Drosophila melanogaster: one gene and its partner. The gene in region 1 interacts genetically with each later gene. Each region holds a gene or a part of one and is shown in the gene's direction. Other genes may lie near its edges.

The links.
Region 2: of Bug22 (region 1) and TTLL3B, changing one enhances a phenotype caused by changing the other (phenotypic enhancement), as found in Drosophila melanogaster (one study listed by BioGRID).

Annotation. Positions count from the first base shown.
Region 1 is NT_033779.5:10,429,401-10,432,832, reverse strand, and holds Bug22 (basal body up regulated gene 22), read left to right. Parts: upstream 1-1,914; 5' UTR 1,915-2,118; coding exon 2,119-2,394; intron 2,395-2,450; coding exon 2,451-2,774; 3' UTR 2,775-2,913; downstream 2,914-3,432. Other genes in the region: TfIIB (transcription factor IIB), read right to left, coding at 308-591, 655-889, 945-1,356, 1,414-1,430; CG5188 (uncharacterized protein), read right to left, coding at 2,922-3,118, 3,174-3,432. UniProt on the Drosophila melanogaster protein: Cilium- and flagellum-specific protein that plays a role in axonemal structure organization and motility. Microtubule inner protein (MIP) part of the dynein-decorated doublet microtubules (DMTs) in cilia axoneme, which is required for motile cilia beating.
Region 2 is NT_033779.5:6,731,331-6,736,684, forward strand, and holds TTLL3B (tubulin tyrosine ligase-like 3B), read left to right. Parts: upstream 1-1,535; 5' UTR 1,536-1,918; coding exon 1,919-3,248; intron 3,249-3,320; coding exon 3,321-4,129; intron 4,130-4,213; coding exon 4,214-4,345; 3' UTR 4,346-4,400; intron 4,401-4,453; 3' UTR 4,454-4,570; intron 4,571-4,628; 3' UTR 4,629-4,819; downstream 4,820-5,354. Other genes in the region: TTLL3A (tubulin tyrosine ligase-like 3A), read right to left, coding at 5,119-5,354. UniProt on the Drosophila melanogaster protein: Essential glycylase which modifies both tubulin and non-tubulin proteins, generating side chains of glycine on the gamma-carboxyl groups of specific glutamate residues of target proteins.

The DNA of each region.
Region 1 (3,432 bases):
AAACGTAGTGTGCAATTTTTGTTTCTGGTTATTAGCTTATATTATACCAAAGATACACAAAAAATGTAAAAATAAATCAAGCAAGCAAAGTATTACGAATCATTGGAATAAAGTTCAAAAACTGAAAGGGTTTAACTCAGATAATTAATTTAACAATGATTTAATTATGTTCTGATTGGTCCAACAGTTCTATTTGAATATTAGTTATGCTAACTTTATTTAATAAAATCGTAATTTGTGATTAAATTAGGAATTTTCCTTCACTTAACGTTAGCGTTAGTATTGAGCATCGGATCTACGAAAAGAATTACATCTGTGGTAACTGATCAATGGGAGTGGTAAACTTAAAGTCCTCGGGGAAAAGCTTAGCTGCGTGCGGATACATAAGTTTGTAGGACTGTCTGATGGTGACGTCGGCCACACCGGCTATATCACCGATTTCCTTCTGGCTTCTCTTATGCTCGGATGCTTGTGAGGCCATATAGATTGCGGCTGCGGCCACAGAAATTGGCGAACGTCCCGGTACAATATCCATCTCGACGGCTTTCTTTGCAATGTGCGTGGCAGCGCGTTGGACCATGTTCGGCAGGTCTGATAAGAATTATAGGTATTAATCCTGCTACCTTCAAGTACAGAAAGTGTAAAAACACTTACCCAAGTTGGCGCAGAAGCGGCACATGAAGTCCGCAGTGGTTATGAGATCCACACTTGTCTCGAGAGCCTTCAATGTTAGCTTAAAGCAACGGCCAATCTCTTTTTTGCTGATCTTGCTGACAGCACATATTTCCTTGAATGTGCGAGGAACTCCTTCTTGGCGACAAGCTATATACAGACAAGCGGATGCCTTGGCATCGTTGGAACGACCCTTGAGGTTCTTTCCATCATGAACCTACAAGAAAACGGCATGAGGTCTCAACCAAATCAACCGCGAACTCGAATTTCACCTGTTTGAACAAGTTGTTGGCCCGATCGACAATGGTTTTGGGCAAGTTAATGCGATCGGCCATCGAGGATATCTCCTTAAAGGCTGATATGAGGGAGCGATCCGAGCTGCTCATGGTGCGTCTGTTTTGGTACTTGGGTGCTCCAAAGGCGTCAAAGGATGCGGATCCTGTGCCCGGACCAATTATGGTGGACAAGTCGCCGCCACTGAGCAGCGGATTCTCCGGTCCACCGACACGACTGGGATCCACGCCGCTCTTCTCGTTGCTAAAGGTACGCCACTCGGAGCCCACATCAATTACGCGGTCCCCAACCACCAGACCACACTCGGAGCAAATCATATCGCCAGCCCTGTAGTCCTCGATGAGCGGAGATTCGGGGTGTGCGTAGCAGCACACCTTGTTGTTGTCCAGTCTGCAAGCAGTAAGCCATTATTGGTGTTCACAAATTGTTAGGAAACCCGACTTTTACCTCGATGTCGATGCCATTTGTACTCTGTAAGCTATATATTTTTTTAATACTCACATCAACTGGTGATGTGACTTTGCCCGATAACTCGATAGCTGCTTAGGTTTTTGCTTCACAGAAATCGGAATATGGGAAAGTCAACTTTAATAATTATTTTTCTGTATTTTAAGTTTTCTTGCTGTTAATAATAACTTAACCACCTTTAGCATTTTAGCAATCTGTTTTACTTTCACAATTAATGTTCTATATTTTAAGTTTCCATGCTGTTAATAATAAGCACCATTTTAACTTGATTAAAAGTTATTAATTCATAAATAAAAATTTTTAACAATAATAGATGTTTTTTGTCTAGCCAATTCCAAATTAACGCATGTTATTATTTATTTTTTAAGCTGTTTCTTTTTCACCGTTCCATAAGCGAGACAGGCCTTCAACTTCGCAATTTCGCACCCCACATAAACATGCGAGCATGTTCAAGCATTTGGAAACGTGGCAACCCTGCTCGCTTATTGTTATGGCAACAACAGGATGCCGTGCTAAACAAACTCATTGACATGAGAAAATAATCAAGTTCCGCATTGATGTTCGTAGTTTGTACGAGTTTCGGCTGTGCGAAAAATTTACGGCCAACCTTAACTGGCCCTATATAAATTTCGAAGAGACTATACTCTCCGTGGGGCGAACCGGTCACTGCACAGCAGTCGCGAAATGTTCAAAAACACTTTCCAATCGGGATTCCTATCAATTCTGTACAGTATTGGCTCAAAGCCACTGCAGCTGTGGGATAAGAAGGTGCGCAATGGACACATCAAGCGGATCACCGACAACGACATACAAAGCCTCGTGTTGGAAATAGTCGGCACCAATGTCAGCACCACGTTCATAACATGTCCGGCAGATCCGAAGAAGACGCTGGGCATCAAGCTGCCCTTCCTGGTGATGATCATCAAGAACATGAAGAAGTACTTCACCTTCGAGGTTCAGGTAAGCTTCGTCATCTTGCATAAGACAGTAACTCCATGATTTCCGCCCCTAATCAGGTTCTCGATGACAAGAACGTGCGGCGAAGGTTTAGGGCCAGTAACTACCAGTCGACAACTCGTGTCAAGCCTTTCATTTGCACCATGCCCATGCGATTGGACGAGGGATGGAACCAGATCCAGTTCAACCTGTCCGACTTCACGCGTCGCGCATACGGCACCAATTATGTGGAGACACTCCGTGTACAGATTCATGCAAATTGCCGCATCAGACGCGTCTACTTCTCCGATCGTCTCTACTCGGAGGACGAGCTGCCGCCGGAGTTTAAGCTCTTCCTTCCCATTCAGAAGCCGGTGCAGAAGTCCAATGCGATTTGTAGCTAAATTCTGTATGCATCATCAATCAATTAGAGCACCTAACCAGACGGAGTCGACGATTAAAACGGCACAAAATGCACAAGACTGCCATCCAGCACTCATTCAACACTTTATGGGAATCACGAATAAAAATTGCATCATGTACATAAAATTCTATTGATCTCTTGTAAGTATCTCCGTTCCCGTCTCGGTTATCAGAATGGTGTGCTCGAACTGGGCGCTACGTGCGCCATCCAAACTAATGGCCGTCCAGCCATCTTGCAGCACTGCTATTTCTGCTCCGCCCAGGGACAGAATGGGTTCAATGGTGAAGGTCATGCCGGGCTGCATCTTTCCAGGAATCTCATTATCTACGATGTGCAGTTTGATTAGCAATGGAGGAGTCTCTTAAACAGTCTTACTTACAATAGTGTAGTATCTCCGGGGGGCCGTGGAAATAGCTACCGATTCCATGTCCAATGAAAGCAGCTATCGATGCCAGATCATGTTCGTCGCAATATCTGTCTATGAACTTTCCAATCTCATTGAATTCCACACCGGGGCCGCACAGCGAAATGCACTGATCCAAACAGGATTTAGTGGCCTCCACGAGAAAGCCACCCCGTTCGTCCACGTTGCCCACCCGAAATGTTTCCGAACAGTCGCCATGGTAGCCGTTCAAAAA
Region 2 (5,354 bases), 3.7 Mb from region 1:
CGCTTTACATATGACATTATCGTGTTTCTGTTTAGATTTTTGTAGAAGGCAGAGACGGCGTACCAATTGAGTTTATAAACTGAACAACATGCACAACAATCAGGCATACATATATAGAGTATAACAGCTGCATATATATACGATTTATAAATTATAATGAATCATAAATCTAATAATTAAACATTATGAAGCATACGTGTAACTAACAACAAAGTATTAAATGTGAAGTAAACAAAAGAGGAAGGGAAGTTGTAGAAGTCGCAAGCGCCCATTGAAATCAACTATTTACATAATTACATATACGAGATCATTTAGTCGAAAAATCGAAAAAGCTTTAAAGGCGAACTAAACCTAAACCAAAACTCAACTCTTAACCTTTGCTTAAGCCCCGAATAAGAGAATTTCTTTGCTCATTGGCTGAAGGGAATTAGAATTTCAATAAAGAATTAATCTTAAAAATACTTTAAAGGATCTATTTACAAAATCTAAAAGCATATCCATTGTTTTTCAAAACAAATATACACACCCTTCATAAAATTCGTTTACGTGGTTACTTCAGTTCAGTTTCAAGAGCGGCCAGTTGAATTCTGAAACAATTTCTTCAATTTATGTGTAAGTCCCCCTCTAATACACTAACCTATTTAAGTTTTGCATGTACTTACTTTCCCTTTATACGTTAAAGCACACAAACTGCCACACAACAACACGTATAAAGCATCTGGAAAAGTTGGTTTTACAGTCTTTACGTACATTAAGTTTAAGTTTATACTTATGTGTACAAAAAACCAAAATTGCAACTAACGCTTGTCCTTAAGTTGAAATAGAGAAAAATCAAGAATCAGTAAAAATGAATACCATATGCTTAAATTAATTTATAAAACTAAAATATATATATATATTATAAAACACTAACAAGAGGAAAATACTTAATAAAATTATTTCAACTGTATTAGCAAATTAAAAAAGAATTACAAACGTGTAAGGAAACTTATAAAAGCTCTTAAAACTGAAAACTTATTTATGAATGTAACTGTAGCATTATCTAAGTAAAAGCGAGAGTAAAGCAAATATTTATGATGTGTAACCTTAATTGACTAACTAAATCCACAATATGTATGTTGATTTGAACAAGGATTGGTTTAATTGTTGACTTTTGTTGAGAATTCCACAAAAGGAAGTTTATAAATGAGCGTAACTAAACTAAATGATGCATAACCTAAATATAAAATTGATTACCATACACTTATGTAAATATATTTATACAATATTGTGAACATGAAAATTGAATGCAATACAAGCAAATTAGGCAAAAATTCCGGTTAGGAGTTTTTTATATGTACCATATATATTTGAAAGAAAAAAGAAAACCCAGCAAACCACGAAAACAAATGATGAAAATATAACTACAAATTAAAATTTATTACAAAAAAAGCAACCAGACGAGTGTGTGTTTTCTGTAAAATTCGCTTTCCACTTTTTTGCTATGTCTTTTGAAAATTTGAACTAAACTCAGTTAAATCTGATTTGTTACTGTGTCAGCAGCAGTAAGCTTTGATTTAAATGCGTTAATTTTAATTTCCCATTCGGCTTCCACTACTTTTTTGGTTTAAAAAAAATTTGCTTTTCTATGCGAAGAAATGCTTTTTAAGTCAATCGAGACTTTTCGTTAGTACATGCGATACTGTTAGAAACTGTTTGGCTCCTGCTTCAAAATTCCACGTTAATTGTACGAAGCAACCGGCTGCATTGGTAACTAGACCACCCATCCACCCACCAATAAAGCACCCTTTTCGGGAGAAGGGGCAAGGTCACTGGACACGGCCACTCCCAGGACACGGATACTGTTAGGCATACGCAGACGCAGTAGGACATTCATCCACGGAGTTAGCGGAGGAGATTAGGAGCAGTAGCCAGCAGTATGACCACGCAGAACACCACGCCGGCAGGATTCACCGGAAATCGAAACCGCTACTACAACCCCGTCTCAAAGATCCAGTCGCTCATTCACAACCTGGACGCGGAGCTGGTGCAGCTGTGCAAGCAGTGCTCCGTGCAGAAGCCGCTGACTAGCCTCAATAACAGCACCAGCCTTGGCAGCCACTTCTCGAATTTCGGAGCGCTTGGTGGTGGCAGTGGGTCCAAAACCATGGGCGGCAGCAGCAGCATGGGTAGCAACAACTTCTCTCCCGACAGCATTGGCAATCTTTTGGCCCGTGTCCGTGCATCAACTCCGTTGCCCAGGACCGTGACCAGCTCGCCCACGGCGCCGGAAGCACAAAAGCGTCAGATGCGCAATGTCTACCGCACCCGTGTGATCGATGCGTACCGTAATCGGCGGATCTTCACCGTATACGGCAACTACCACACGGTTAGACGGGCTCTAATGCGAAGGGGCTGGCTGGAGAAACTGCCGGCCTCGCGGCATGCCAAGCTGCAGAGCATGTCCGAGGATGCCCTGCTGGAGCACGCCCGGCGGGGCAACGACTACGAGGCGGTGGTCATATCCAAGATGATCAACCATTTCCCAGCCTTCTTCATCTGGCAGGGCAAGGGGCAGCGCGACCTATGCGCCGAGGTAAGACCCTTCCGGAATCGTGTGCGCCGCAGCCAGTTCCTGGACTTCTCCACCAAGGTGGGTCTGGTGGGCTGCGCCGAACAGGAGCGCTGGTATCGCGAGGACGGTGTCTGCGGCATGAGCTATCCGCGCTTCTATCGCCTGGGCGGTAACAATCTGGAGGAGCGTATGGCCTTCATAGAGGACTACCAGCAGACGCAGGCCCGCTCCCTGCTGCTCTATGTAAGGGAGCACCAGCCGGCAGAGCTGATCAGCGAGAACGGCACCATATTCAGCACCACTCTGGACTTTGCGCTCGGCAAGGTCAAGAAGATGGTGCGCCACGCGGAGCACTACTCCTTGGACGATGCTCGCATCAAGCCGCCGACTCCGGCGGAGATCGTTGAGAATCAGACCTTTATGGTGCAGTCCACCGATGTGCTCAAGTCCAATGCTAAGTTCAAGGTCAGCGAGAAGGTGATGGCAGAGTACGCCCGTCTAGCGGGCCTGTATCTCGACCAGATCGAGTCCCTTCGTCCGGACTACCGTTGGGATGGCAGCCGCAACCTGTGGATTCTCAAGCCCGGATACCAGTCGCGCGGCATCGGCATTGTAATCCGCAGCTCCCTGGACGACATTCTGCAGTGGACCTCCAACAATCAGAACAAGAAATACATTGTCCAGAAGTACATAGGTGAGTTCGATTAGTATCTAGTGGAGAAATCCTTTGATCCTTTGACAAATTTTCATCAACATTTCCGCTCAGAGCGACCCCTGCTGATTTACCGCACCAAGTTCGACATCCGGCAGTACATGCTGCTGACCATCACGGACACTAAGGTGAGCATATGGACGTATCGCGACTGCTACCTGCGCTTCAGCTCGCAGGAGTTCACCATGGACGATCTGCGGGAGTCCATCCACCTGACCAATAATTCGGTGCAGAAGCGGTACAAGAACAAGACCAACCGGGATTCGCGGCTGCCCAAGAATAACATGTGGTCACTGGATCAGTTCAAGAACTACCTACGCATAATGGGTGCTCCGGACGGATCGTGGTCGAAGACGTACAACGGATTCAAGCAGAACCTGGTGGCTGTGGTGATGGCCAGTCTGGACGAGACGGAGTTGTTGCAGAACGCCTTCGAGCTGTACGGTTGCGACTTCATGCTCGACGAGCACTACAATCCCATTCTGATCGAGATCAACTCGACGCCGGATTTGTCGCCATCCACGGAGATCACGGCCAGGATATGTCCGATGGTTCTGAAGGATTGCATCCGCGTGGTGGTGGATCTGCCCAAGAACCCCACCGCTGCCACCGGACTCTTCGAGCTCGCCTTCGAGGTGAACTACAGCATAAACAAGGGAGCGGATGGCAAGCCGCTGGAACTGAATGGCAAACAGATGACCCTGTTCGAAAATATGCCCAGAATGCGGAACAGCCCCAGGACGCGGCTCCTGCGCAAGATTCTGAACAATGTGAAGACATCAACTACCAAGAAGGTCGAAAAGGTCGTGGAGGCTCCAGCTAAAAATGTGAAGAATCCCACTGCCAAGATCACCAAGAAAAAGGTATGGTACAAAAATAGTTAACAATTCTGGAAAAAATCAATTTTAGAGCTGAATACTTAACGAATTTATTTAAAATATTTTTAGAAACTATCTGCGTCAGCTGGAAGCTCGACGGCAGCCTCGGCTCAGCCATCAACGCAGAATTTGACAACCAAGTTGATACTAAATCCAGCAACTCGGGAAAATCTTGCACTGCAATATACTGCTCCAAAGTAAATTGGCTAAATTTAACTTCTTTTTGTGCGGAATGGAAACCACTTTTTTTTGGACAGTAGGTACTCCTAAGCATATTCATAAAATACTATGAAATATTTTCTTTTTAAGATCCAATGACACAGAAAACAATAATATGCATAGATTGTACAGAACTGTATTAGTAATAAATATGTGTAAGGAAAGAAAGCCCAGCTGGATAGGTTTGCATCCTACGAAAACAAAAGAGTAAGTTTAATTCATTATTATATTAAATTTAAGTAATATTAAAATAACACCGTTTCAGATTCCGAGGATCAATGTTCTTGGCGCCAGTGGAGATCAATAAAAAATACATATAAAGTAACACATAAATAAAATATACAGTCAGGACCATTAATTGCCAAATCGATTTAAATTTATTAAATAGATATAACAATTTTAGAATACAATAACTTGCGCAGATTTTCATAACAATTTTTGCAATAAATTCGTCTTAAAAACAATTCTGTATAATTCTGGATTATTAATATAATTCGAATATTTCTAAGATTTCACATGCTATAGAACGTTTGATTTATGTATGATGTTTTAAATTCATTTATTGAAGTATTCACAAAATAATTCGTCATCCTAAAATGTATTCAATTTTTAAAATATGTTGTCTAAAAGGCAGCTTATTCACAGGTTAAACGAAACCCGTACCCTGGTTGGGTAATGGATCTCCACTTGTACCTTTAAGGTACTGGAGTGGTAACTACGTTTTATTGACCAATCACGGCAGTTTCGGAGGTGTCTTAGCCGACCGGAAGTGCTGAAGCAGGAACCATCAGCGTGGAACCATTCAGCTTATTGGCCAGGGCGGTACGGGGGCTCATCATCTGGGCCTGGGAGAGCTGCAGCTCACTGGTGGCCTGCTTCAGAGCCGCCACGATGGGCTCTCCTCGATGGAGTGCCTGCACGGATATGCTAATGGGCAACCTCGGACCATTCGACTTCCGGCCAAAGGTCCGGCCAATGGCGTGCATGCCTG